4 linked regions of the Lytechinus pictus genome follow. The protein of the gene in region 1 binds, or shares a complex with, the protein of each later gene. Links are inferred from orthologs where the notes say so. Each region holds a gene or a part of one and is shown in the gene's direction. Other genes may lie near its edges. The genes, in order: unconventional prefoldin RPB5 interactor-like; ruvB-like 2; DNA-directed RNA polymerases I, II, and III subunit RPABC1; dynein axonemal assembly factor 10-like.

Region 1 (7,578 bases):
ATCTAAAATGCAGCTAGCAGTACAAGCTGCAGATCGTAAACAAACGTCTTGTGAATAATATTAAAAGTTGATACCCACGATCATACTGCGGCATCTACGTGAAGATCACGAGAAAATGCTTTTATTTTATTAAAAAACACACCAAAGAGAAGTCAAGAAACGATCCATATGGTTCGGTAAGTGTCATACATGTAGCACAATTAGAAACATTATTTAAATGGAATGGCATAGTTATTTTAGTAAAAAGTGTGTGAAAGATTCGCGTGCACCATGTGCATATGAATCCTTCGCACGCGAGATGCATTGATCCCATGAGTGGGCACAGACTGGAACCTCAAAAAAACGAAAAGTTCTCTCCTTCTACCCCCGTTTCGATCGGCCATTTTTGTTAAAAATCGTAACAAAATGGCCGATCGAGACTGGGGTAGAGGAGAGAACTTTTCGTTTTTTTGAGGTTCCAGTCTGTGCCCAGATGTCAGGAAACTGCCACTCGTTAGACCTTCATCCATATAATCGTGGTAATTGTATACTTTCTGTTTTCACAATTCATTTGGAGAAATATTTAGACCATAAATCACCCTAGTCCGGTGACAATGGCCAAATACACGGTAAGCCCCTGGGCTCCCGCCCACTGCGCGGGCGGGAGCTCCCTAGATGCTAGATTAAAAAGTGCTAAAATGTCCTGCTTCAACCACTGAACTAGAAATACGTGGAAGTCGTGTACACCCAAGCAAAACATCGCCGGCGGCGAACTCGATAAGCCACGTGACCGCCGCCAAACGCCGTAGAAGGCAAGATGCAATATGTTTTCTCTATGTATTTCTAGTTCAGTGGTTGAAGCGGGACATTTTAGCACTTTTTAATCTAGCACCGCTCATGATTTTGCCGCCCTCTATACGCGTCACGTAACTAGGTTGCAATTACAAAGGATCAAAGATGGCGATGTCAACAAGTGTAAGTAAACTCTCTTCTACTTTTATTACTTCATATAATTTATTCGTCATTTTTTAACCATTACTACGCATTTTTTGCCAAACGTTGCCAACCAATATTGTGACCCATGTACAGCAGTCGTGACCTCAGATTCTAAACATAACTAGCAGTTTGGCGCATTTTTATAGTTGCCTTTTCCCTCGGTAGGTAGGACTCTATGCATCACAATGCCAGGCGTTAGGGGAGTGACCATACGTACAGTATATACTTTCACTCCCCAGACGCCTCCAGGCTACGTTTCTGGGGATTTCCTTAACAATTCTGACATTTCACCATAATCCCCATGTCGAGATCACTAATGCTATGGAGATCCTCCCATTGGCAATGCGACCAAGATCTATGATGTCACAGATGAACAACTCTCCCCAGTTTTGGACACTGAAAATATACCCCAAAACATCTCTTTTTGCTCATTCTAATCATATGACAAACGATTCATCAATGATGTAATGTTGTGAAACCTCTGTACTTGTCCTCTCATAAAGAGAACACCTCACCTTGTGATAGACTCTATAAAAGTGAGAATATAAGTGAAATAAGTACTAAAGTAATGAGGGAGTTGTACGTGTGTGACATCACAGATCTTGGTCGCATAATCGCATTGCCAATTGGAGGATCTACATGGCATTAGTGATCTCGACATTCAAATGCTCATAACTTTCTTATTATTCATTCAATCTTCCTCAAACTTTCAACAATATGTTTCTTTGATTTTTCTCTTTGATATGGATTCAGCTGGTTTCAAGGGTTTCATTCTCCTTTAAAGATTGTAATATCCATGTGGATACTGTCAAAGCAGAGCTGCAGAGGCAAGTTCTTTCTCGGATCTGCTCCAGTCTCTTTTTGTGTACACAACTGGTTGATTTTAGTACACTTATTCATGGTCATACCCTTGACTTGATTTATCGACAGGTAGATGAAATTATAATCGGCAAACCTTGGACACACTTTTGTGCGATCATATTCCTGTTATGTGTACTCTTTAATTCCTACAAACCTCCACTTCTAAAGTAATTTCATTCCGTAGGCTTGGAGTAATAGATATTTTTACGAAGAAGCTTGATATAGCCGATAATAATCTTTGCAAACATACAGCTTGTGATCTTTAAGAATTCGCCTCATTATATGATACATTACACTAAATAGTATCTTAGATAAACATGCATGCAGAACATGTAATATAGTTGTTCTGTGACCCCAATTGCCTTTATTCACTGATAATGTAAGGATCGCAAAAATACAGAAAAGGAATGTTGAAAAGCATCGGTTAAAACTTAAACTCTAGGATGGAGAGCGATTGGAATGGGTATAAGTCACTTCACAAACACATGTTGCATACATGTATGTTACATGAGCTTGAAGAATCCATCACAATGGTTTAGTTATGGAAAACAAAGGTGATCATAAGCAGTTTTGAGTTGTGAAGTCTCTGTTGAATATTGCAAATAAGCAATCTGTTACATCATGCATCACTAGTAACAAACAGTGCTTTGTGAATGATTTAGGCAATTTTTTTCATAAGAAAGTCATGCAGATCCACGAAAACCTGACTTTATGAAATTTACTCTTCTTTCAGAGCAAGGAAAAAAAAGGATTTCCAACCAAGTTAAAAAACCTATAACCAAGTTCAGTAAAAAGTCTTGTGCATCAGACCCAATGCCCACAAAGATTCTTCTACAGCGTATTGACACACTGATTCCCACCATCACATTTCTAATTAATCTTGAATTGTCATCTGGTCATTTCCCTTCACTCTGGAAAACTGCTCTACAGTGCGTCCCAAAAAAAACTATACACTTTTGAAATGGCTGCCAAATAAAAAATGTAGCACTTTGGGGGAAAAGACTTACATATATGGAAAGCCAATAAAGTCAACTTTCAAATGACACCAAAAAGTTGGAAAACTATTCATGCTTGAGCGAGCACTGCCCACTGAAACAAAGGGTATGAAAATTAGGGTGGGCTGGAATTAGCCTTCCGATTTATGTAAGTTTTTGAGAGGCAAATCCTTTCGAACTTGCAAAGTTAAGGGCGATGTGATAAATTAATGATCAACCATGACCAGTTTTGGTTGCTTAAGCAAATTTTAAGTAAATTATTAAATTGAACTTTAATGCATGAGTGAACACAAGTTACAACTTTTGGGGAGCATTTAAACTTTATCATTTGGATCTCTTTTTGGGCAGCATTTCAAATTTATCATGTGGATCTCAGCAATGTGTTCATGGGCGTCGGGAGAATAGGGGGTGAGATAGGACTTAAGTCAGAGAAGTAGGTTGATGGAATAAGGGTCAACAGAACATTCAGCCCCCGCCCCTCCCTCTCTCCCGCCCTCCCTCCTGTTGAGAGACTGATGGCTATTGTCATGTACGCGTGAAGTCCAGAGCAGAATGTTGATTTAATGATTAATTCTGAATTGGGACATCAACTTTTTCCTATCAATCATTTAATCAACAATTTATCAGTAAATCAACTTATTCAATGTGCAATGTGATCAATCAAACATTCAGTTTTTTTTCAATTAATTATTTCATTAATCATCATAATCATTAAATTTCTTGGTAATCATTGAAAAAAAAACTGACCATCAGCCACCGGTCACTTGGCAGTTAAGTTTTGAATAGGCTACAAATGATGCAGGAAGTGAGACAGAGAGAGGGGGGCTGGGAAATGGAGGTGGAGAGGGGAGGGTACATATGACTTTTAATTTGTAAAAGGAAAAAAAAGAAGAGGAATGCCCTTTTAACCAAGTCTTAGCATATCTCGCCCTCTTGCTTGTAACGGGTACCATCACATTACTCTGACTCTCACGAACACACTGCTGAGGTTCACAAGATAAATATGCAACAATAAAATTACAATTCCTGTTCACTCATGCATTAAATTTCAATTTAGTAACTCATGAAATTTGCCTAAGAAACCAAAACTTATCTCACTCATTAATTTAGCTTAACAAGTTCCAAAGGACTAACCACTCAAAAAAACTGTAAGGCTAATTCCTGCCCATCCTACTTTAGCTGAGCATATTAGTCTCTCAGGGGGAGATAAGCGGGGGGGGGGGGGGGGGGGTGAGATTGAGAGAGGGGTTGCTAAATGTTCTGTTGACCTTTATCCCACCAACGTACTTCACCTACCTAAGTCATATTACCCCCTCTTCTCCTGACTGTCGTGAACACATTGTTGAGACCCACATGATAAGACAAAATGCTGCACCCAATTCATGATCACTCATGCATTAAATTTCGATTTAATAACGCATTAAATTTTCACAAACAACAAACTGATCACAACTGATCTTTAATTCACCAAATAACCATCAACTTTGCAAGTACCAAACAAAAAAAACTGAAAGAAATTGGAAGGCTAATTCCAGCCCACCCTAATTTTCATACCCTTTGTTTCAGTGGGCAGTGCTCGCTCAAGCATGAATAGTTTTCCAACTTTTTGGTGTCATTTGAAAGTTGACTTTATAGGCTTTCCATATCTATAAGTCTTTTCCCCCAAAGTGGTACATTTTTTTATTTGGCAGCCATTTCAAAAGTGTATAGTTTTTTTTGGGACGCACTGTAGTTCAACTATTATTGAATAAACCTGGTTTGGAAGAAAAAAATTGTAATCATCAGCCTGTTAGTAATCTGAGGTATGTATCAAAGCTTGTAGAAGGTGCTGTATATACGCAAATAATGAATCATCTCGACTGCAACTACCTTGTTCCAAGTAATAAGTCAGTCTACAGGCAGTATCACAGTACTGAACGACACTGTTAAGAATTATGACTCAAGAGTGATATTCTCATGGATATGGATGATAAGAAAGAAAGTCACCTTATTACTTTTATTAGACCTTAGTAGTGCATTTGATGCTATTGATCATACTAACCTATTGCATGCACTAAAGAAACACTTTGGCATAAAGGTTTGGTAATCATTTAACTGACAGATGTCAACAAATCAAAATTTATGAAACTGTTTCTGAAATTTTCTCAGTACCTTTCGGAGTCCCTCAAGGGTATTCACTCTATACACAAGTCAACTAATTACAAATATCCATAGTAAATTTAGTAAGTATCTTGCCACTGCTATGCAGATGACACACAGGTTTATTTGTCTTTCACACCAGACTTACTTGCTCAGCAGCAGAGCATCTCTCTCCTGGAAGAATGTGTTGATTACATACGTGAATGGATGCTGCACAATAAACTTATGCTATTAAAAAAAATGACAGTAATACAGAATTGCTAGTTATCAGTACATCTAAACAGCTAGATTTTGACAGGATATCAGTTGGCAGTTAAGTCATAGAACCAAATTCTAATGTAAGAAATCTTGGGAGTATATTTTCACTCACAATTGACTATGGAAAAAAAATATTACAAATGTGTGTAAATCGTCATTTCGTATGATATACAAAATTGTACAAAATTACTTTAATTATGAAAGTGTGAAAACAATATTGTCCATGCATGCATTATTAGTAAGCTAGATTATTGTAACAGTTTGCTGTCTGGGCTCCCATCGTCTCACATTGGGCATCTTCAGCGAGTAAAGAACACATGTGCACGACTGATTTGTTGTCAACTTAGATTTTCCAGGATCATCCCTATCGTAAAAGATTTGCACTGGCTTCCAGTTCGCCAACGAATATCTTTCAAGATTTTGTTAATTGTATACAAGGAACTAATTAGCCAAGCCCCCAACTATATTTCTGAGCTTTTACGACGCAAAGTTCACAGGTCTATACACACTCATAACCTGTGCAGTTCTCACGATAATTTGCTCCTTCTCATCCCCACTCGTAACACAAAGATAACTGTGGGAGATCGTGCATTCGTCTGGGATTTGAACCCACGACCCTCTGTTTCAAAGTCCGAAGACTAATCCACTGGGCCACAACGCTCCACGCTTATTTTTTGTCTTTTGATTACACTAGAATTTAATGGTTGTAATCTTCAATTTCATTCTCTGTAATATTACTTAACACTTTGTATGAAAAATTGACAAAACTTTGCTTGTTTAACTTTTCCAAATGGCTGCTTAAAATCGATTGTCTGGGTATAGATAGTATTTCTTTATTCTTCCTCAGTAACAACTTGCAAATACGATTGTACACTACATTTTGTTTTGCCAGAACTTTAGAGAGTAGAAAAATTTGGTGACCAGGAGAAGCACAGCTAGGTCTCTCAGAAGAATACATTCTAGAGTATGAGATTAGAAATTTATTATTTATTTGGTTGTTATCATGCAGGTTGTATAATGGCGAGAGGAGGTGATCTTGCTCATATTGGTCGCCTGAAGGAAGAAGAAGAGAAAGCCTTGTTTGAGACTAAAGACAAATTACAGCAATGGCAAAAGTTTGATGAAGACTATTCAGCTCTCAAGGCCAGACTGACAACGTTACCTGAAAAAGTTTCACATGAAGTTATGGTAAGAAATCAAATATACACTAGTAAATACATTTTTTTATAATCAATCTTTGTTTGTTTTTCATTTTTTCTGTTTTCCTGATAGTATTCATTCTTTGAAAGTTAATATGAAGTTTGTAATAAGTTTGAGGCCACAAAATTTATCCTGTAACTAATTTTGTGACACAGATCTATGCTGGCGTGGCTTATGTGTTGAATCCATTCCCACCTCACCACCAAATAAATTTGAGATTTGAACTTTTGTTGACAAGTGAATAAAAATTGTTTTATTTTCTAGCCTCAGGTGCAAATTCATTCAAGTATTATTGTTTCCTCCTCCTGACTTTCTCTTTATCATCTCTCTGTTTTTTTTTTCTTGTCCATATATCTGTTTTTTTTACTTCCCCCTTACACTTCCATCTCTTTCTGTCTTTTACCGTGTTGTCTTTCTACAGGTTCCCTTTGGCAAGTTAGCCTTCATGCCTGGTCAGTTGATCCATACCAATGAGATACTCGTTCTCCTTGGTGATAACTGGTTTGCAGAGCGTTCAGCCACACAAGCCTGTCAGATCATCGATAGGAGGAAATCATGTGAGTAGATAAGCGGGTCTTGTCCAAAGGTCTGATTTAGAGTGAAGGTTTGAGAGACTTCTCTGTGACCATCCACATTTCAAAGGTGGAGGGGAGTTCCCCTGCTCTCCAATAACAATGTGAATTCAGGTTAATGATATGCATTAACCTTTTTTCCATTTCATAGCCTTATTTCATATAAGAGTTTTGCTGGTAGTAATATTACTGGTAGTAAAGAGTCACAGGAGATGAAATAGTGAGATGACTTCTTTAGCACAGTGATAAACGACTAGAAATTTGTTTTTGCATACTGGAAAATATATATATTTGGGGGGGGGGGGCTATTTTTCACAACCAATTGCTCAAATCTGCAACATTGAATAAGTTTTAATAACGTTGCAGTGAATGGGGAATTTCTGGGGCTTTTTCAGGGCTCTTGAGCATTTTGGGAGTGAAATCGCTCCCAACCACACATATTGTCCCTGCTGAACCAACCCTAGTAGCAGAAAAGTAAGACGAGACAATGAAAAAAAAAGAAATGAAAGTATTACTCTCTTTTATCAGATGTACAGAAAATGATGAATGATCTGAAGAAGCAACAGTATCTATTAGAG
Region 2 (7,863 bases), on another chromosome or scaffold:
AAATTACCAAAAGTAGAAAGAGAATAAGGCCCAGAATACATTCTGTAATACCATTTTAAAACTGCCCTATTGTAAACTCATTATCTCATTTTCTTTGGCCTGACAGTAGCCTGAGATTAAGCAGGTTTGGCCGAAAATTTTCTTGCTGCCAGGGTTGGGCTCAATTTCTTTCTTTAAATACAATTACTTAATTGAAGAAATGTTCAATTACAATTATTTTTCAATTAAATCACTTTTTTTTTTATTGCAATGACCAATTACTTTTGTCAAATACAGTTACAATTTCAATTACTTTCTATAAGTCATAAATGAAATCACTTTGTATTCTGTATGTACTAGCAATCTAGCACCACCTATTTCAACAATTCTAGGTTACAGAGAATCTGACAAGATGAAGGTTTATGTTAAAGAGCACAGATTCTGCCTATTACACTCTTTGAAGCTGAAGCAGTTGACATGAAAAGGGTCATTGAATTAAATCATAATTAAGTTTATTGTTAAGTAACTGAATGTAATTAAAAGTTATTGACAGTAATTGAGGTCAATGACAATTACTTTCCCTACAGATTTCAAATACAATTACAATTAAAAAATGTAATTAATTACGTAACTGATCAATTACCTTCACCAAGTTAGCTTTTCCCAAAAGATATCTCTGTTACAGCTATTTTCAATATTTTTCACAAAGTCTGGGGTCAGCAAATAAGCAATGCATGACCTATGAAAGCTGATGCCCATTGGACTTTGAAGTCATTTCATAGGGGGCGTTGCAAGAAAAATATTTGCGATCAATTGCAAATATTCTGTTGCAATTTTACAATTGATAGATCACCATTAGCTGTAGCAAATCAGATTAAACTTCTTGTTTCAAGGAGCAAATTAGCAATCAGTCACTAATTTGCAATTAACTGCATGACATGATTGATTTAGGGACCAAAAATTTACTTGTAATTGCTGGCAGGTTTCTTGCAACACGCCATAAGAGAGATCAAAATTTACCTGTGTTTGTGAATTAGATTCTGGAGCACTGCAGAATAATTGATCCTTGGATGGTAATCTCCACAAGGCATCATCAGTCTTCTGAAAAGTGAACGCCTTGTTGAATAATGCGTCAATCTCGCTCTGCCCCTCGTTTGTTCTCCCTTGACCTTTCATGTGACCCCTCTTTTTTTGACGATGATTCTTGCCACGCCCCCCTTGATGGGGACGAGACCCTCTATCTCCGGAGTGAATTGGGTGGTGATCCTGGCTGGACATCTTCTCAAACCTATGAAGTGATACAGATGAAAATTGAACTGCATTAGGGTAACAATGCAATTTTTGTTAATTTTTTTTAATCCCACTGATTATATCCTAGGGAGCGGAAGCAGGGCTTTCATTTCAGCACAGCTATTTTTTCTTCCCCTCTTCTTTTCCCTGTTTCCTAGCATTTTGTTTCCTTTTCTTTCACTTTTAATAGGGCAGGCCGGAGGGTGTGTTGACAAGAATCCCTCTGCCTTGTTCATAATCCTAGCAAACTCATGAACCTGTCCCTGCCCTTCGACTCGTATCAACCCAAGGTACTTATTATAAATGCCATATGGGCAGACTATCCTTTTTAAGTTTTTGTAACTCCCATTAGCACTAATGCAGTTTCACACCAGCCGATTACCAGAATACCTCACCACAGAACTTGCTTGCAAATGTCATAGTAAGTCCCTCAATCACGTTTCAAGGTCAGTATGCCCACCACTTTTCCAAATATCGTGACCGGCTGTATTTCGGGTTCCATGCATCTCGACGTCGTTCAAATTCTCAGTCAGATATTGCTTCACTTGGCTTTGCTGTAATTTTGATTTGGACTGAAGTTGGCAACCAAAATCATGCGCACATGTGGCGGCACACAAACGGGCTGGTGAGCTGCCGCATGCCACACGCAGGCCAGGCAAATCTTTTGGTCGCCAACTTCAGTTCATATCAAAATTATGGCGAAGCCAAGCCAAGCGAAGTCTGACTGAGAAGTTGAACAATAACGTCGAGATCGGAGCTAAATACAACCGTTCCTGAATGTAATATTTGGAAAAGCAGTGCCGGTGGTCACATTGACCTTGGAATATGTCACTGAGAGCCTTGCCACAACATTTGCATACAATTAACGTTACTGGTAGTGAGGTATGCATGCTGGTAATCTGCCAGTGCGAAACTGCATTGCCATTACCGGTAATTATATTATGGATTCTCAGATTATTCATTTCTAAAACATTTCATTTTGAAAAAAGTTTTAAAATATATTTAAAACACCAAATATCATTGGCATAATGATATAGTCCCCAAATCCAAAAATGGGGATTATTAGAATCACACCTACCAGAACGCATGAAAGTCACTTCCTTTCTCCAGAACACAGTCCCCAACTCTCGCACAGCTCGAGAACTTGCAAAATGATAACACACACAAATGAAACACACTTTGTTTGGATAATATACTGTTGGAGCTATCCCCACTGCGTGCCAAATGAAATGTGTATCCCATAACGTGGGGATTGTATCACGAGTATAGCTATACTGTTGGAACTGTCCCCACTGCGTGCAAAGTGAACTGTGTATCCCATAGCACAGGGACTGCATCACGAGTATACTATACTGTTGAAACTGTCCCCACCGCCGTGAAAATCAAACTTGATTTCCCGTAGAGTGGGGACTGTATCACGAGTATATAATAGGGAGAGAACCCAAGTGTAAGTGTGTTTCATTTGTGTGTGTTATCATTTCGCAAGTTCTCGAGCTGTGCGAATCTAATAATCCCCATTTTTGGATTTGGGGACTATATCACGATTATACCATATCATTATGATTTTTGTTAGATTGGATAGTTTTTGTTTGCTTTAAATTTGAACTTTCTTTCTTTTCTATCCTTCTTTCTTCATCCTTCTATTCCTCCTTGCCTTTTTTGTTCCGCCTTTCTTTATTTCCTATCTTTCTTTCCTGATCCTTTCTCTCCGTGTTCATTTTGCTTTCTTTCCTTCTTTCTCTTACCTGCCTTCTTTATTAAATTTCCTTCATTCTTGCTTTCCTTAAACTTTTCTTTGCTTCCTTCCTCTCCTTTTTCTTTTCGTTCTTTCTCCTTCCATTATTTTCTTTTTATTTCATTCTCTCCTCCCTTCATTCTTTCCTCCTTTCTTTAATTCTTTATTTTATTATCCCTTATAATTCTTTTCCCTTATTCTTTCTTTCCCTTCCTTCCTTCCTCCTTTCCCGTTTTTCTTCGTATGTTCCTTTCTTTCAATGAAGGAACAAAAATTATTTCCTTCATTCTTTCTTTCCTCCTCCTTTTTTTCCTACTTTCTTTCTCTCCTTCATTTTATCTTTCACACATTTATTCATCTTCCCTTCCTTTCTATATTCAATTCACAGATCGAATGATGGATACCATTTTTCTCTTTTAATTTTTATTCTTTTTTTCTAACTTTCTTTTATTTTTTCCCTTCACTTTGTCTTAGTTTCAGTCTTTCTTCTCAATTCATTTCTTTTCTGTCATCTTTTCTTTCTCTTCTTCATTCTTTCGTTCACCCGCCCTTCCAATTATTTAATATATTTTTCACAAGTCTAACACTGTTTATCCTTCTTGTTTAGACTTAAGTTGTTATGTTTTGTCGATTGTCCCGTATTTCATTTTGTGAAATATGGTCACCCTGCATAATTATGCCAACTCAAGATCACTCACGCTCAGCTCGCTCAAGTTGAAGATACTCGTACAACCCATGTGTTGGAACATGCGATGAAGCTTATGTGCAATTAGGATACGAGTATCAAGAAAATGTGTTATAACCCGCTTCACATGCGCCCAAACTAAATCGCGCACGCCAGTGATCGAGGCATTAAAATGATAATCCACATGGCCTGTGCGACTATCCCCAGCGGTCCTACCTAGCTCAGCTCACATTCCTAATCGATCTTGATACTTTGGCAGCTACCTAGCGGCATTCCTAAATTCACAGATCAGGCTCAGCTCTTGCTTTCAAAATTTACTATCACCTGGATAAAATTCGAGCAAGCCAAAAGCACAAAGAAATAGTCTGTCGAGCGGCAGGGAATTCCCCTTCGCACGTTTTTTCGGAGGTAAAGCGCCAGCTAGCGTTGTCATCACAGATCAAAATGGCAGCGGTAAGTTCGCGTGGGTTTTGTAAATTTGACTCGTAACTTGATGAAATAAATGACTCTGTAGCCTAATTGATTTGTTGAATTTTATTTGTTCGTAGGGATACTGAGGAGGATTATATACTAGTGACAGTTGAATTAGTAGTATTTGAATTCTTACTTTAATTGATTGACTTTTGCTCGATTTCAGAGCACAGTGTTTAAATTTTGTATGTTGTGCATGACAACGGATCAGCCGGCGCGGCGGCCTAACTCGGGACGACTCTCTCTCTTACTCTTAGCTGATCCCTCCACTATTTGGAGATTCCTAGGGTCCAAGGTAAACAGATATGTTCCATATACGCTGTCATTCTGGTTTAGGAGGTTTGAACCATGTCAGTACGGAATACATCAATTTTGTGGAGGAAAAAGAGAGATAATAGGAGTAAACTATTGTGTAGTTCCTTGGGCAAACAAGAGTGAAATGGTATAAGGGTGGCCTGAGTAAAGTCCAGTGGGTTGGCATTGACATATAGATCGACACATGTTGGGAAGTCCACAAGGCAGTCCTTGACTTTGCCAATAAACACTTGACGGAGATGGTCTAGCTTGGGACACTGCCCAGTAAAATGTTCCACAGTCTCGTCGGTAGATTTGCATAGAGGGCAAGTGCGGCTGGTTGATTTCTTCAGCGTGAAGAGACGACACTGTGTTAAGTAGGTGGCTGTAAGGAGTTGAGCTCTCACCACAAATGCTCTTCGTAAGACAGGAGAGAGTACACTTTTCGGGTACAGGAGTTTGGCAGAAGGAGGTATACAGTCTTGCCAGTACTTAAGAGATGGCTTGGAAAGGATTCCTTGACATGTGTTGTGTTTGGTCAGCAGGTTCACTTTGTAATTGACCAATCTCTTCCAAGATGAGTATACAGGAGGATTCGATAGAAGGTCACCGCTCCGCTGAAGCCGAGGCGAAGGAAAGCGGCTGAGCTGAGCGACAGAGCCGGCTCGGAGCCAAAAGTTACCAAGACAAGTCAAGAAAAAATAATGCAAGGAACTCAGGCTCATGAGTCATGTTAATCCAGTAAAAAAAAGAGGAGAGAAATAACTAACAAAGTAACAAGTATTGAAGTAACATGACCAACAAAGCCAAAGATAAAACAATTTGAATTTAAAACTCAGTCTCAGAATATTGTCAGAAGGGAAAAAATATGTTATGTATTATGTGTTTTTTTTTAAAAAGGCTTTTTCAAACCCAGCCCTTTTAACTTTGTTTGCCCAACAGTCTGTCCCTGAATGGAATAATATTAAACTCCCTCTTCATATACATGTCAAATACTTTTCGCTTGACCAGTAGAGGCGCACGGCCAATAATGGGAGACTCTCTCCAATAACAGGGGAGACAATCTCCCACATTGGAGACTTGCTTTACAAAAGGACAAAAGAAACAACACCAAAAAAACATGATTTTTTTCCACCCGAAATTTTGTCTCACTGAGCCTTGAGGTCAGAAGCCCATTTGTTTTGTGTGTGATTGACAACAAAAATCCTTATCAAAACAAAAGTAGACGGTGAAAAGGGGCAATTTTTCATGAGAAATCTGCTTATCACATTTTTATTTGCCGCCAAGCCCAAGGTAATCCTTTTGCAGCAAATGTAAACAAAGGAAATTGGTCTCCAAAACTGGAGACTCTGAAATTGGATACCCAAATTCTTTACAAAAGTCTCTGATATTGGAGATAATCTCCCACATTGGAGACAGTCTCCAATATTGGCCGTGCGCCTCTACTGTTGACAGCCTCCAAAAGCATGAAAAGCTCTTGCAAAATCAAGTTGAAATTGAAAATACCCCTCAGCTTACTCATAACGTGCGTCCAATTCTAATTTTATTTTCAAGGTAGCGCTGCAGAGCCCTTTGAAGATGATAGCAGATGATGATGAAAAAAAAAGATGATTTTAAAAGAGAGAGAAGAGAGGAAACAAAAAGGAAAGAGATCATGAAGACATGATAAAGAAACAGAAAAGAAAAGACGAGTAGATTCTTAAAGAAAAATATATTTTAAAAATCAACAAATAGAAACATTAAAATTAAATGGGAAAACAGAGAGAGCTCAAGGGATGGGGAAAAGGTGAACCTGATCAATAACGTTTTTTCTATTGAAAAATATTGTTGTTTGACTGTTTGCCATTAAAACTGATCAAAAAAAAATAAAAAAAAGTGTGGAGCATTCATCCATAAGTGAAAAGTATGAACCGTTTGTGACAGAAAACGGCGGTCTCTGCAATGTTGATTGTAGGTCTTGTGTTCTTTGTTATTTTGCTCGAATAAAAGAATAGAAAAGTAATAGTCCGAAAACGGATGTAAAAATCTTGAGTGGATACACTGCTGGACTAGTAACTTTGTATTCATGCAGTGGATGAGAGAAGACGAGAAGATATTTATTTCTTTTCTTCAATATTATTTATCATTATTATCTTCATCTGCAGTCAACAGCACAGAAGGTTCAGGAGGTTCGTGAGGTGACAAGGATCGAGCGGATAGGAGCGCATTCTCACATCAGGGGTCTTGGTCTAGACGATGCCTTGGAAGCAAGGAATGTGTCCCAGGGTATGGTGGGCCAGACGGCGGCCAGGAGAGCCGCAGGAGTCATCCTGGAGATGATCAAGGTATGAAAGACAACTGGGCCCTTTTACATAAGGGGTTGCAATGAACTGCAAAAACAGGTGACTCCGCCCAAGTCTGGGGACCAGAGAAATCTGTTCAAATTGGGAAAAATTCATAAAAAGATATTTAGCATGTTCTGGTGGGAATTAATGCTTCAAGTTAAGCGATTTTTCCACTTACATTGTAAGGTTGACTTGTGCAGATTCTGCTGTATGAATGAACCACTTTGATTGGTTCCAGGTCAGTGTTTGTGCAATGGTAATTGCTAACCTTCGTGTTACAGAGCCCAGGATTGATTATTGGCATTCAGCAATTTTTATTGATTGCAAACTTTTGTGTTATGGAGTCCAAAAAGGAAAGGCTACATAATATGATATATAAATATACTACCCAGGGAGCAAAACCCCACTTTTGGGGTGAAATTTGAAATGATATGATTTTAAAAGTTTCTTTAGGATCTACATTGTATTTTCCATGAAGGACCTTTCATGGGTGGATTAACTTTAATTACATGTATTTATTTATCCCCTTATTACAGGAGGGTAAAATTGCAGGACGAGCTGTTCTTATTGCTGGTCAACCAGGTACTGGTAAAACAGCTATAGCCATGGGTGAGTAGAAAATAACCATTCCTGTATTTTTAAGTCCAGGGGTCTAGGGGCCAATCACAATGAAGTTATAACTCTTCATGAAATGGGCTCTAGTTCAACTATTAAAGTCATAGTTTAATTCTGCTGAAATTATGGGAAGCGACAAATGTTGAATAATTTGTTTGCTTGTAGTGTGTGTTTAAATGAGATACAATTGTGATATCATATACAAAGAATTACAAATTTTATCCATATGTCACCTCCAGCGCACAAATGGCTAAATTCACACACACACAAAATATTTGATGAGGACATATGACAATGTGCTTTCCATTATTAATGATTATGATAGTATACACTGTAGGGACAGTGATTTTCCGCGATCGCGGAAAACGGACGGAATTTACGGAAAGGGCCTTTTGAAACGGAAAGTGGCATTTCAAACGGAAAATCACGGAAAACGTATTTTCCCTCAAAATAAACAGAATAGCAACAGA
Region 3 (7,136 bases), on another chromosome or scaffold:
ATCCACTGCCAAACGCGGTTCGTGGTGCGGGGTTAGTATACTTAATACGTGTGAGTGGCACAATTCCAGCAGATTTTTTCTTCAGATTTCTAAAACTGGTCAGGACTCAGGCAGGCAATTAAATTATTTAGGATCACTGAGTGGTATGGACCATGGCTGAAAATCTGCTGTTTCAGAGGAATGTTTAAGTTTTTATTATACACAGAATTATATCACCATGATGCCGATGTCATGAAGCCAGACAAATTTTCAGCAGTGATTACCCTGATTCCTGGCCAAAATCACTCACACGTATTGCGAGGTTAGTATTAGTATACTACTAGTACGTATTGCGAGGTTAGTATTAGTATACTAACCACGAACCGCGTTTGGCAGTGGATTTCTAACTAGTGGGTCGCGCGTGCTGGGATCTCACTTCTTGGGTCCACGACTTCTATTGCTTGAATTTTCTGTGCGCGGCGGCATGTAATGAACCCTTGGGTGGGCCAAAATTAGAGTCTGGTGTTTCTTTCTGATTAGAGTGTTGCTGCATATATGTATGCGTAATGCCTTCAACAATGAAGATAAATGCAATCTTTGTAATGACACAGAGACTCAGAGAGCACCGTACCTCAAGTGATGTTCGTGTAGTCTCCACTTCACTACTGGAGTACTGCTACAGCCTACACTACGCTACACACTTACCCGGGTAGGTGTGGCGTACATGTACGGTAGTGTAGCGGTAGTGAAGTGGAGTGGGGCCTACACAAACATCACTTGAGGTAGAGCTCCAGTGTTCTGAGTGGAACTTTTCAGGTGTCTAAACCTACTATCATTTGTTGTTGACCGGGAATTACATGCCACCGCACGTCATCAATCATCACGATAATTAAATTCATACTTTGATTTGATTATTTAAACTATTTCTTTTTTTCTCTCTTCTACACACAGATCTGCACAATTGCTAACTCTGGTGACTTCTGGTCTCTGCTTGCTACCTCAATCTGGGAGATTCCATCTTGTCCTTTTACTATGATTTGGATATAGCCATTTTTTTCTTCACTCTTTCCAGGACCTACGGTTTGCAAGTTGTGGAATGATAATGATACAAAAGAAAAAATTTCTTTATCAATCTTGGAAACAATTTTGAGCACAGTTTTGGAGAGAACTAAGAAATTTTACTCGGACAGGAATACAGCTTGTCAAAAATAATAACACACAATTTAAAACGAAAGAACAATTTTAATGTTACTAGGGCATTTTGCGAGAAATGTTATACTCAATCACACGTCCCAAATCAAGGGAAAGTCCTTTGATTAAACATGTAGTTGAATTGCGATTGCAACTCGACCTTATTACGCTTAAATTTGAATTTAAGACTTACGCTTGATTTGCAATTGAACATAAGTTTCTTGCAGTGCCCCATAATTATGTTTTGTTATCAGATATTTAACGTGCTGATTTTTCTCGAAAGGTATAATATATTTGTCCTTTTAAACGGTATTTGAATATGGGTACGCCTTTTATTTGTTTTCCACAATATTTATTGCATGTATGAACAGAAGTGAAATATTTATTGTGAAGCACTGTGAATGTTGTGTGATGGTTCATCATCAGACTGAAAGCCTGGTGGATGTGAGGAAGTGGCCTGGATGAAAGAAAAGTGAACATGTGTCCAATTACTGATTTGCATATTCTAAGACAATTTTGTTTCTGGATAAATTTTGCTATGCATTCCCTACATTAAGAGTAAAGGAGAAGTCCACGCAATCAAAAATTCATTTGAATTTAAAGAAAAATAACAAGATATTGCAGGAAATTTCATAAAAACTTTGATTCAAATTTATATAATTACTATTTTAACAGTTCCGTAAATATAACCTATTGTGATCAGATGAAGAGTTTCCTATCGTCAAATCTGCAAAGAATAAAAAACAAAATGCCACAAAAAATATAGAAACGAATGTGATGTGAGTGACAACTCTAATTTGCATATCATTGTTTTGTGTATATGACTGTTTTGAGTAAAAACAACAAGGGAAATCACTCTATTCAAATAATTTTTAGTTGATGTGGACTTGACTTTTAACTCTACCCCTCCCATCCCAAATAAGAGTAGAAATAATCTAATCAAGAACTTGAAAATCAAAAGCAGCAATTAAGAAGCAAGATTTGATAAATACAGGTCTGAATAGAATTTCACAAGAAAATAAAAAGAGAAAAAAAAGATGGGTAGGGACGGGGAAGGAATAAAAAAAAAATACCCAGAAAAAAAAATCCGAGTTTCGAACCAGGGTCCTCGCACATGACAAAACAATGGCCAACGCATTTGGCCACAGACCATCGCCCTAACAGGAAGGCATTTTTAAGATATATGAAAGAAAGTCCGCTCGCCGCCGTTTCCTAATAATGCTTCGGCAATTCAACTGCAATTTCAGTCATTTCGCGATGGATATTGCCGTGTTTTTTTTGTGATTCCTGACTTTGCTACTTAATAAAATTTCATAATTTTTGTTCAGTCATAAAGAAGAATGTCTATGCTTTATATTGACTATAACATCAATGTGACGCAAGTGTGATTTCTACGTGAAAATATGCTTTGTTTATTCACCTATATTTCTTGGAAAAAAAAAAATTCTAAGCTAAATATCGGTCACCAAAATACGTTAAATGTGCACTTTTTTTCACTGTTCAGTAAATTCAAACTTTTATCTATATAACAAGACCAATCTTAAGAGGAATAAACAATTCTAAGAGCAAAAAACGCTGATTGGAAAGATCGTCTCCAATGGGCTGCTGTCAGCTCAGCTGCTCACTGCTCATTGTGTGACGTCACTCAGCTGGAGCTCGCAAGAGGACCGGTGGAAGGCAGAAATATGGCATGAAAATAAATCATTTTTGAGAGCTGATTTCTGCAATCTCTGATCACTATTTTGAAAAGTGAAGTTATATATCTGATTAGTAATACTTCCCCTTTACAATGATGACCACATAAAGTCATTATAAAATACTTTTGATTCTTTGGATGTATACTTTAATCACTAGCATTTCTGAAGATCGATGTATACAAAATAACAATTCTTAAAATTTATCGCATTAAAATACAAATCAGACAAGTTGATTCGTGAAAGTTTGAATAATATCGGACAAAAAATAAGAAAGTTATGAATTTTTAAAAGTTGTAATAAAAATGGAGACTTCAAATTGGCCGCACTTGTGATGCCATATTGAAGACAAGGACTACTCTTTCACTTACTTCAATATTTAATTTTTTTTTTTTTAATTTTACTTCAAAGTTTATTTTCTTCCATGAGGACATAAAACGATATGATACGTGGGCTATATTTTGATTACTGCCACAGGGGAATAAGTAATTAGGAGAAAACAAAAAACCCTGATAATTAAGTACATGGCCTATGGGAAAGATATCCTTGCCCCTTGTCCATTGGCGGCGGAAGCCAAAAAAATTAGGGGGGGGCGACCCAAATTTTTTGATAAGCAAAAAAAAAAAAGTTATATATCAACCAAAATATTAGGGGGACCAACATAATTTTTTGACAAGCAAAAAAAAAAGGTTATCAACAAAAATTTTAGGGGGGATCGCCCCCCCCCACCTCAAATTTAGGGGGACCTGTCTCCCCCGTCCCCCCCCCCCCCCCCCCCGCTTCCGCCGCCTATGCCCTTGTCATGGGTTACTTACCCAGTTGCCAATTTAAAAATTACATATTCTAAGGGATCTTATTTTTAAAGCAGCTATAACTTAATTTCTTATTGCTTGTCCGATTTCCTTCAAACCTTCATCATTCTGTTTTTCTTAGTTTTCTCTTTGTCAACACAATATTTTATGACCAAGCTTGGATTACCCTTTAAGAGCTTGAAGCAAGTTGAACAATATCATTCCCAGACAGATAGTCGGGCATTATAGATTACGTAGAGGAAGGGGTGGGGTTTCAGGGGAGGGGCGCTTCCAGACCTACAGAAGGAAAGTGATCAGTGGTGCAATTACAGCACTTTAGAATGATAAGGGTTGATCTTTGTTTTATAATTAGACTTCCAGTTCTGATCGAATCGATTTTTCTTTTTTGATACATTTGATACATTTAAGATACGGTAACTTTTGCAGTGATACCTGCCGATCTCCGAACAGCGGAGGAACTGAAACGAGAGAGGGTACATAACTTTTCTTTCTGAATTTATATGTAACCTTACTTTCAGATATGTTTTTTTGTAATGAACCAGACAACGATTTTATCGTTTTTTCAAGCATAAACTCAGTTATTTATGCTTTCTAAATGTTTTCAATTCGTTCTTTTGAGAAATGATACGAGTTTATCATATATTTTCGTATGGATATATCACCATTTTACAACTGTAAGCTCATTTTTTTAATCATTGATTTGTATTTCTGTATTTCTGATGAGGATGTTGAAAAATAAGCAAAAGAACAAAAATTCCCGAATTTTCGATTTCTACGAAACCAAATATAACACGACATTGAGAGATCTCTACGACTACGACTACGTTGCATTGTCCTTCAATTTTTTCATTGTGGAATTTTTATCTCAATGATACCATAGCATGCAAAAGCGTGTGGAAATCGTAACATAATTTTGGAAATTCTTTAGAATCGGGGTTTTTTAGTGAACGTTTTGCAAATAACCTATCCTTTTGATCATGAATGATGAAGCCGAAACATACAGACTTTGGAGAGTTCGTAAAACAATTATGCAGGTAAGTACACGTGCATCAATCATTAGATGATATTCTTGAAATTATTTGTTCAGTCCCACGCGTTGGATTTGAGGTTGGCTAAACTAGGGGACAAATAATTATAACGGCTCTACGAGTCTAATCTAGCGCAGTAGCGGTTTTAGCTGACGTTAGGTTCATGTTATTAGCTCTGACAGTTTTCTTCTTTATTCCTGTTTAGAAAAGGGTCGTGAGAGACGGGGGTAGAAGGAGAGAACTTTTCGTTTTTTGAGGTTCCAGTCTGTGCCCAGATGTCAGGAAACTGCCACTCGTTAGACCTTCATCCATATAATCGTCATAAGTGCATAATTTCTGTTTTCACAATTCATTTGGAGAAATATTTAGACCATAAATCACCCTAGTCCCGTAAGTATGGTCAAATACACGGTAAGCTCCTGGGCTCTTACTGCGCGGGCGGGAGTTCCATGGGTTACATGGGCATGGGAATAAACCACTCGCACGTATTGCGAGGTTAGTATATGCCACTTGTTCACTGCAACCATCCTGCCTGTGGGTACCTGAGGCGATATTCGTGCAGGCTCCACTCCACTTTACTACCGCTACACTACGCTCCACCTACCCGAACATCGGGACAGTGAACCAGATCGGATATTCCGATCGAGTCATAAAAGGTGCACTCACACAACATGCGAGGTTAGTTATAGTATACTAACCTCGCACAACGCATGTGATTTCATAGTGCATTTTGACGTTTTCATTCATCACACGAATGTGAGGGACTATGAAACGCCAAATCTTTCAATATTTTTCCACTATGTTAATCTTGATCGTATGATTTAGGCCCTAGTTCATTTTAAAAATGAATTAGAAATTATTGATAAAGGTGTTTTTATCGCTTACCTCCAAATCTCAACCAGGATACTTCGCTCGGTCCGTCCTTAGTCATCCTTCATACTGCGGTGGAAATTACGCAAACAAAAATCGAAATGCGAATTTTTCCTATCGAACATTCTCGATTCAAGTCGTCGGCGCATAATAGGAAATTGTACCAAAAATCAACAGGTTGCATCTCATGTATATACTTAAAGAAGGTCCTATTTGGTCAAAGTCGTGAGAATTGAAATATTGTATAATTCGAACAATAAAAGATAAATAGTGAGTGACATTATTGACTCTCTCATTTAGATATCAATGAATTGTGCATGTAACTGTTTTGTGATAAATAAGCGAAACTTTAATATGTCATAACTTTCTTATTTTACATCCGATTTTGATGAAGTTTTCAGCGTTAGTCTTGTTTCATAATTCTCTATTTATTCAAACATTTTTTTTCTGGGGTGCACTTGACCTTTAAGAGATTTTCCACTGAAAATACTACATGGAACTTGGAAATACAAATCATAATTTGGTTGAACAAAATGTTTTCTGTTAAAGTATAAAACAGAAGCTAGAGGAACATTTCCTTCACGTATTTTTATATCCAAAATATGTTGCCTTAGTATGGAATAATCACAATGACATAAAATGAAAATGGGTAAAGTACCTTCCTAATGATCATTGAGATTTCGCCTATGGAATCGTTGTTTATTAATTTTCAAAGCTTTAAATAGATGAAAATATACATACATATATATATATATGAACAAAATGATAAAGTCCCGATTGTTTCGCATTACGTGTGTTAGATTGCGGGCGTTTGTGTGTGTGTGTGTGTGTAGGAAGCAAGATTTTCGTGTTAATGTTTGCACAAAAAAGGAGAGGGAAAGGGAAAGGAAAAGGGGAGGGGGAAAGGTAGAGGAGAGAGAGGGAAAAGGAGACCATAAAATAGAAAGAAAACAAAGGAAAGGAAGAGGGAAAAGAAAAGGGAAAGGGAGGGGAAAAGAAAAATGGAAAGAGCGAGAAAACAGTAGGGGAGGGAGAAAGGAAAGAAAAGAAGGGAAAGGAAAAGCGAGAAAGGGAATGGAGGGGGCGGGAAAGGGAGAGAGAGAGAGAATGATGAAGGGGATAGGAAAATGTCAAGTTTGAAGATCTGAATATTAACACTAAAACAAAATTAGACTTCCATGTTTTATTTATAAAAATACCATCTTTTTCATGATTATAAAGGTTCAACGTCCCTGTTCTAGGTCTAACTTCAACATAAATCTACTGGCGCTTTGCGCTTGAATTCTGGATGTCATTCCTTTTTTAAAAGTATAGGTAATCTGTCGGACTTTTCAAATCCCAAATTTAAATCTTAAGCGCAAATGCCCTCGCATTATTTTTCATTTAGATACAGTCCTGTCATCAATATCAAAAATTATAAGTGCGAGCTTCGCGCTGGCATCATTTTTGTAAGTGACAGTTATGATGTTCATATTTTAAAAATGCTTAGAATGTCCATTTGTTGAGGTTTAAATGTCCAAAAGTTCAGCGCTCGCATAATTTGTAAGGTAAATAGGCCTACC
Region 4 (7,873 bases), on another chromosome or scaffold:
AATACTATTCAGCTGTCTGAAGAGGGATCTTATTTCTGTTTGTTTTGTTCTGATATTTGTGCCCATTTGATATGTAGAAATAATAAATTCAAGTATTCTTATTTCTTATTTTCACATCCACATTTTCTCCCTTTTAGGGTGAAGACTTGCATCAGTTTATCAGAGCGTTTTCACCAGGACTTCAAGAGTATATTGAGGCTGTTTCATTCTATCTCTTCATCAAAAATGGAAGACTTCTATCACTTGATGAAATTGCTACAAGACTCACATTTTCTCTGAAAGATGACATCAAGCAGGTTGAAAATGAGGTTAGTCGAAGCTTGGTTTTGTTCTTGTTACTGGTTCATTTTTTTCATTCTTTAAAAGTCTATGATAATCACAACTAGAATAAAAACTAGAAATTAAATAAAATTAGTGGGTATGATAGTCTGAACGTATAAAGGAATTGGTGATACCCATCTGATATAGGTGTAATACAATTTTTTTTCTCTCTTGAAGTAGACTCTATACCCATCCAGGGTATAAAGTAACCTTCAATCATAATGTGACGACATCCAGTGGTCTAAAGTTCTGTAAAAATGGTGTTCAGAGTTACTTATACAATTCTATGACCCAGCATGAGCTAAAATACTTCTTTCATGTTATTCATGTATGATTTGTATATTTTGATTTTTAAATGATTGAATAAAATTAATTGCATTGAATTGAATTGAAATTGTCTTTTTGTTGATATTATGGGTCTGTCTTACAAAAAATTTGCTATTTGAAGTCAAACTCAAATCAAGATTGATTTCAAAATGTATATTTTGGGAAATTGGGAAAAAAGGTTTTGTAAAATGAAATTCTCTGTAGTTTGCATATAATGTCAATGTACTGATATTGTTAATTGTACAGGAAGCAGAGAAAGCTGATGGAGTAACGGGTCAACCAGAAGCCAGTGATCCCACAGAGATTCAAGATCCATTAATGGAATCAAAATGTGGTAGTGACCAAAGGACATTGTCTCTGAAACTTCCACCTCTTGAATACATGCTTGGACTGGCAGATTTCACAGGGGAACTCATGCGCATGTGTATAAACATTATCGGTAGCGGAGACCTAGAGAGACCCTTTCAGTTAGTTGATTTCATGAGGAACATCAACAGAGGATTCCAGCAACTTGGTAATGTAGCAGGGCGCGAGATGGTGCGCAAGTCATCGGTCATGAGACAGAGCTTGAAGAAAATGGAGGATGCCTGCTATGTAATCAAAGTCAGGGGATCTGAGATTCCCAAGCACATGCTGAAGGATGTTGCTTTCAGCACAGACTTTTCTACAAGAGATGATGACTATGGTCAAGAAATGATGGACTGATTTAGTTTGTCTGGTTCAAGTTTGAGAATCTTAATAATAAAGGCTTACTTCAAAGGGATCCCATATTCCAAAACAAACACTGAAGGACGCTGATTTAGCACAGGCTTCTTACAAGAAATGATGACTGTGTTCAAGATATAGTTTTAGATATTTTCATTTGTGTCATTGATGATATCAAGTTTCAGTAACTCCTTAGTAAACTTATAAAACATATTAACATTTATGATTACTGATAATTTAATGTCATAATTGATTATACATGGTGGTCATTGCATTCAAAATTTGTTCTAAAATCATATGCTAAGCTTTGTGATCGATCTCTTATAATACAAGGCACATGTCTAAGTATATATATGAACAGTGAAAACTGTGAGATGATCTGTGATCATGAAAACTAAACACACGGGTGAATCATAAACTTTTATACTGAGTTGCCAATGATTAATATCTTTTCTTGGATTTCAACATCATACCACATTCACACCGATTAATCCGACTCCAGACAAACCAAATCTATAACCTTACTTCCAGTGACAACCATCGTTTGGATTGTTTATTTGATCCAATACCATAAATATACATAGCAGCCTTTCCAAAGGAAAAAAAAAAGAAAAATGGGTTGTATTTATGTATGTTGTATCATTTTCACAAAGAATTAGAGCCAGGGAAAGTAAGATTCATGAAACTTCTTATTATGTGGATGGACAATATACATTTTTGTTTCAAGATAAGCACCTGAATTATTATTCAACTCACCATGCCAGCTGAATGCTTAAACAAAATTAAAACAAACAAAAAAACGAATCATGATTTCAAGGCGTGGAGGTGGGCTCATCTGACTAAAACTTACTTTTACATTAAATTTTTAATGATCATGTATCATACTCAAAGTCAAAAATTGACATTTGACAACACTGGGTATTTAGTATCTTGTCATCATGCATATGAATTCTGATTATCTTTAATAACTGTTTCCAATTTACATTTATTTTTCAAGTCTTGCCTTTGTTATTTGAAGATGTCAATATCTACAAATTATTGAACTTTTTCAGAATATTGAATGAAGGCTTATTAAAAGAAAGTTTTCATAGTTCATTCTGGCTGTAATGGTCATTCCTCTTTTGCATCTTAAATTGTGAATAGTTCCTGTGTTATGATGAAATGGCAATGTAAATTGTCTTTTTAAACTGTGTTGCTCAAAGTTTTAAATGCAGTTTTAATTAAAATGTAAGTTCTTATAAGGAATCAGTTCATGTTGTAAGAAAGATTTTTTTTTCAGAAATGGGCAAGAAAATTAAAATCAGAGAAATTTGAGTTACCGTTATCTATTTATTCATTATAGTTATGGGTGTGTCAGTGTGTAAGAAGATTAATTTGCCAAATACTTCTGGAACTTGTAGGGCTGGAGGGAATGACGACTTGTTTACAAGCATGAGTACAGATTTAGACTCGATGGATGATTAAAGTTTCAAAATCATTACAAATAATTTCACAAGAATATTGCATTTAAAAACACTGAAAGGAAAATGGCAATGTAAAACGACCACTAACACACGAAAAATTGAAAAAGGGAGGTCATCTTATTTGAGGGAAAATGATTGGAAGGGTATTCTGAGGGACATGGATAGTAATGTTTTCATGCTTTCCTGGCAAAAACAACCCGGATTACGCTAAACCTCACACAAAGTATGAAAATCGTGAGCAAAAATTCTGATGACCTTTGATTTGATATATTTTTTAAAGCAAATTCGTTATTAGGCTTGACTTATCAGAAAATGACTGCCAAGTAAAAAAGCATCCTGTTAAAAAAAAAAAAAGTTATATATCTGACATTTGGCTTAATTATTTCTAAAATGTGGAAATATTATCAATGAAATGTACAGGGGTAGAAAGCTCATTTTCTAACTTCTATGAAAATGTCATAGGTCTCGCTTCAGTGGTTTTGAATACATATGCTGTTACATAATAGTGGTGCATTTCAGTCCATTCCAAGTTCGCAGCACTGCTGTGTTTCTGCATTTTCTATAGCATGTTTTCCCATCCAGGATCTGAGCAGGGACATTCCCCTGATCTATCCAGGCTCATCAAATCAAAAACTTTGGCAAGTTCAGAAGGGTGAGAAAGATTTTTAAAATGATATTTGTTATGATTTATAGGGAATTAATGCACCAATTTGAAAGAAAATATGGATAAGTGATGAGTACATTAAGATGACCAATGAAGGGCAAACCACAAGTGTATTGCACTTTGCGAAAGTGAACATTTAATTTTTTTCATTAATAAAGGTACAGTGAATTATTAACTTGACCTCAAAAAATTATTTTAAAAAAGTAATGAAAACAAGAATGCAAAATTGTTGGAATTCGGCATGAAACAGACATGACCTGTTCTCTCCATCATTGTGCATCTCCCATTATCAGACTTGAAATAAATAGTCAAGTACTGTTGTTGCCCTTCTGAATATGCTCAAGGTTGTTTATGAGCATGGTTTGATCAAGTAAATTTATTTATGAAGACTGGAGCTTTTAATTGCTAATAAAATGAAATTACAAAGAATTCATTTCATTACTGAAAATCACATGTGGACGTTGAGATGTGTAGCCCCGAGATATACGGAATGAAACCATTAAGGTTTTCTTTGTAAAATGATGATAAACGTTTTTTTTTTATTCCATACATCATCAAAATATAGTGCAACAGAAATTGTGTAAATCGATAGATATACTGAAAGATATGATTTGACAAATTCTATGCATAAATTAGAGATTGTATTTATCAAAATATTGAAAAGGGTCTGAGAACCATGAGTACGAGTCCAGTGGCAGAATCTTTATTGATTCAATTATTTTACTATTTCAAAATGAATGGTTTTGTGGTGTTTTACAATTATCATTGAATGAGCCGTCTCACTTGTTCTGCAATGTAATTTCAACTTCTATGATTAATTACTGTATGTAAGATTACAATTTTCAAATTTTGAGGCACGAGTCTACCCACTTGATGCCACTACGTCATTACAAAAGAAGTTATGACTGGTTCGGAGGTGTCATAAATATTTAGTCAGGTTCTTGTCCCCGATCTTGGCAAAAAGGGCTTCATGAAATGGTTATAGAGGACAAGTAGCTCACCATCTCCGATTTAGTCAAGAAGTTAGACTTATGATGAAACAGGCCCTTGAATAATAAATGGAAACTAGTAAAAGTGAAATTTTCTTCGGCTTTTCTTCATTTATTTTGCTGAGATAACATATTTCATTTTTTTTATGTAAGTTTTTAAAGGTTGACCATGGGGGAGGGGAAGGAAAGGGAATCCACTTCTTTAAACACATTTTGTACAAAAAGCATTAAAAAAAGTGGGATTTGGTGTTGCACCCACCGGTTCCACCACTGATGTGCACACCCCCCCCCCCCCCCCCGCCTTCTGCCCTCTTTGGGTCTGCACAAAGGTAAAGTTACACGTCGTTGAAGTCTTGCTTGGTAAATATGTTTTCCCTTTTTAATTTGTCTTGCTTTTACCCATATATATAATACACGAGCGCCGCCGTATCGATATCGCGAAGAACTTCCTCAATCTCGACACTGTCTTAGCTTAGCCTTAGCGCTTAGAAACGGGACGCCGATTGCAAATTCCATCTATTCGGATACTATTAACAGTATATTTTGATTCCGACGTAATTCTCACTTGTGTGAAATTCAGTATGGACAAACCACAGATCATAATTCATGCTACAAAATCCTTGAACATAACGCTATACGACGTGAAATGGATCCCCAGAAGTGCCCGGTTCGTTGTGCTTGGTTGCCACCCGAGACAGACGGGGGCTTTGCAAGTGTTCGAGATGGATCAAGGAGAACCTAAATTAATACACGAGGTAGTATCAGATTCGTTGTTCCGGCGGGGAGGTGGCACTGCCGTGGTATTGATTTTACAAGATGGACACCAGTCACACCACACTTGTCCATGTCAATGCATTTACTGACCTGGGCCGTATTCTGAAAATTGCCTAGGCCCTAGTTAAAGGTCAATCAAGTCCACCCTAGGGCCTAGCCAGGCGGCTTCTAGAGAGTAAAAATCATTTACTAACGTAAGGTCAATCTCATGAAGCCAGGCCTTCTATCCCATAGACCCACACAATGGAAGCCAAAACCTGAAACTTTCACCCCCGAAATTTCTACTTTCTTTCTAAAAGATCTAGCCCTAAATCATGTACATGGGATAAAACTTCATTTCCGACATTTCTACGCTCTCGTTATTTTTCAACAAGAATACATCAAAAAAATGAGAGAAATATTGTGTAAAGACGGAAGAGACTCGTCCAATGTTTACGCCGCCATCTTGTTTCCTATTGTTCTTCGCCAACGTTACAGACGTGTGCGTCGGGTAACGTTGGGGAAGAACAATAGAAAACAAGATGGCGGCGTAAACATTGGGCGAGTCTCTTCCGTCTTTACACAATATTTCTCTCATTTTTTTGATGTATTCTTGTTCAAAAATAACAACGAGAGCGTAGAAATGTCGGAAATGAAGTTTTATTCCATGTACATGATTTAGGGCTAGATCTTTTAGAAAGAAAGTAGAAATTTCGGGGGCGAAAGTTTCAGGTTTTTTGGTGGTACACGCAAAAGTATATGACGGAAGCCCTGGCTTCATATGAGAGTGACCTTACGTTAGAAAATGATTTTTACTCTCTAGAAGCCGCCTGGCTAGTCCACCCCAGGAAACATGTCATGGGAAAATGTAACCCAGGGAGCTCCGGCCCGCACAGCGGGCCGGAGCCCAGGGGCTTACCGTGTATTTGACCATACTCACGGGACTAGCGTGATTTATGGTCTAAATATTTCTCCAAATGAATTGTGAAAACAGAAATTATGCACTTACCACGATTATATGGATGAAGGTCTAACGAGTGGCAGTTTCCTGACATCGAGGCACAGACTGGAACTTCAAAAAAACGAAAAGTTCTCTCCTTCTACCCCCGTCTCGATTGGCCATTTGTGTTATGAATCGTAACAAAATGGCCGATCGAGACTGGGGTAGAAGGAGAGAACTTTTCGTTTTTTTGAAGTTCCAGTCTGAGCCTCGTCAGGAAACTGCCACTCGTTAGACCTTCATCCATATAATCGTGGTAAGTGCATAATTTCTGTTTTCACAATTCATTTGGAAAAATATTTAGACCATAAATCACGCTAGTCCCGTGAGTATGGTCAAATACACGGTAAGCTCCTGGGCTGCGGGCGGGAGTTCCTGGGTTAGGGAAAATGCTGACTTGAATATAGACAGCTGGCATCCGTCTGTTTCGAGGAGTTTTTTAACTTTTTTTTATTTTTTAAATTTCTCCTCGTAGTCCTACACAGACGGCTTGCTATCCTGCAGCCACCATTAGGGGACTTACAATGCAAAATCCCCCTGTCGGGGCTCTTCAATTTTTGTCTTTAATGAATCAAAATCTTGAAAATTAATGCGACCGAAATGTAAATTAATATTTCCTCTTGGTATTAATTGCCAAAAACAGGGAAAAAATCAAGTTAAAAGGAACAGAAACAGTGACTTACCTCGGCTGTCGCGCAAAATCACTTCCCTGTTTTATCCAAACTTAATACATACACGCATGGCCATTCAGTCCCCTGTACAGATCGCGCAAAAACTTTGGTCTCTGTATTTGGTGAGTGAAGCCAACAGAGTTCAGCTGAACAACCAACATAACATAACAGAGACCGAAGCTTTTGGTCTAACTTGAATAAAGAGAAAAATCAAACTAGCATAGTGCTGAAAATTTCATCAAAATCGGATGTAAAATAAGATAGTTTAGTTATGACATTTTATTAAAGTTTCGCTTATTTTTCACAAAACAGTGATATGCACAACTAGGTGAGTCAGTCGATGTCAATCACTATTTCTTTTGTTTTTTATTGTTTGAAAAGAATTATACAATATTTCGTTTTTTACAGATTTGACAATAAGGACCAACTTGACTAGCTGAACCATATAGTGTTAACAGTGCTAATTCCCCATGTTCAGGGAGGAATTAATCGTTGTATCACTTGACAATGAGGAGAAAATTGGAATATTTCATATAATAAAATACAAAAGAAATAGTGAGTGGATGACGTCGTAGTCTCCTCGTTTGCATACCCATCAGGATGTGCATATAATTGTTTTGTGAAATTAAGCGAAACTTTAAAATGTCATAACTTATTTTACATCCGATTTTTGATGAAATTTTCAGTGTTATGCTTGTTGGATTTTTCTCTTTTTATTCAAATCAACTTTTTGTTGGGGTGGACTTCACTTGTCCTTTAAGAGAAATATTCTTGTAATATCTTTGGAGTTACAATAAAATCTGTATTCTAAATTTTTTTGTATCTTTTCTTGTAACTTTCACTGAGCGCATACTTATATGTCAGAGCTATAATGATGCGTAAGTTAAAAACGGTGCCTAAATAATGTATGTGCACAAGATAACATATCAAGATAAAAGGTTTTCTGAAAATTCTCTTATCTTTGCGTTCTGGTAACTTCC

What was found.
Region 2: unconventional prefoldin RPB5 interactor-like (region 1) and ruvB-like 2 share a complex: the UniProt entries of both Homo sapiens proteins name them as parts of the PAQosome complex. The link is inferred for Lytechinus pictus from reciprocal best matches to the Homo sapiens genes URI1 and RUVBL2.
Region 3: unconventional prefoldin RPB5 interactor-like (region 1) and DNA-directed RNA polymerases I, II, and III subunit RPABC1 share a complex: the UniProt entries of both Homo sapiens proteins name them as parts of the PAQosome complex. The link is inferred for Lytechinus pictus from reciprocal best matches to the Homo sapiens genes URI1 and POLR2E.
Region 4: unconventional prefoldin RPB5 interactor-like (region 1) and dynein axonemal assembly factor 10-like share a complex: the UniProt entries of both Homo sapiens proteins name them as parts of the PAQosome complex. The link is inferred for Lytechinus pictus from reciprocal best matches to the Homo sapiens genes URI1 and DNAAF10.

Annotation. Positions count from the first base shown.
Region 1 is NC_087246.1:39,025,694-39,033,271, forward strand, and holds the start of unconventional prefoldin RPB5 interactor-like, read left to right. Parts: upstream 1-4,563; 5' UTR 4,564-6,194; coding exon 6,195-6,416; intron 6,417-6,849; coding exon 6,850-6,985; intron 6,986-7,528; coding exon 7,529-7,578. UniProt on the Homo sapiens protein: Involved in gene transcription regulation. Acts as a transcriptional repressor in concert with the corepressor UXT to regulate androgen receptor (AR) transcription.
Region 2 is NC_087253.1:12,090,857-12,098,719, forward strand, and holds the start of ruvB-like 2, read left to right. Parts: upstream 1-4,851; 5' UTR 4,852-4,866; coding exon 4,867-4,926; intron 4,927-6,598; coding exon 6,599-6,778; intron 6,779-7,314; coding exon 7,315-7,387; intron 7,388-7,863. Other genes in the region: uncharacterized protein LOC129267757, read right to left, coding at 1,000-1,257. UniProt on the Homo sapiens protein: Possesses single-stranded DNA-stimulated ATPase and ATP-dependent DNA helicase (5' to 3') activity; hexamerization is thought to be critical for ATP hydrolysis and adjacent subunits in the ring-like structure contribute to the ATPase activity.
Region 3 is NC_087255.1:18,058,863-18,065,998, reverse strand, and holds the start of DNA-directed RNA polymerases I, II, and III subunit RPABC1, read left to right. Parts: upstream 1-4,124; 5' UTR 4,125-4,653; coding exon 4,654-4,710; intron 4,711-7,136. UniProt on the Homo sapiens protein: DNA-dependent RNA polymerase catalyzes the transcription of DNA into RNA using the four ribonucleoside triphosphates as substrates.
Region 4 is NC_087251.1:10,512,836-10,520,708, forward strand, and holds the start of dynein axonemal assembly factor 10-like, read left to right. Parts: upstream 1-4,872; 5' UTR 4,873-5,050; coding exon 5,051-5,224; intron 5,225-7,873. Other genes in the region: translin-associated protein X-like, read left to right, coding at 138-308, 895-1,353. UniProt on the Homo sapiens protein: Key assembly factor specifically required for the stability of axonemal dynein heavy chains in cytoplasm.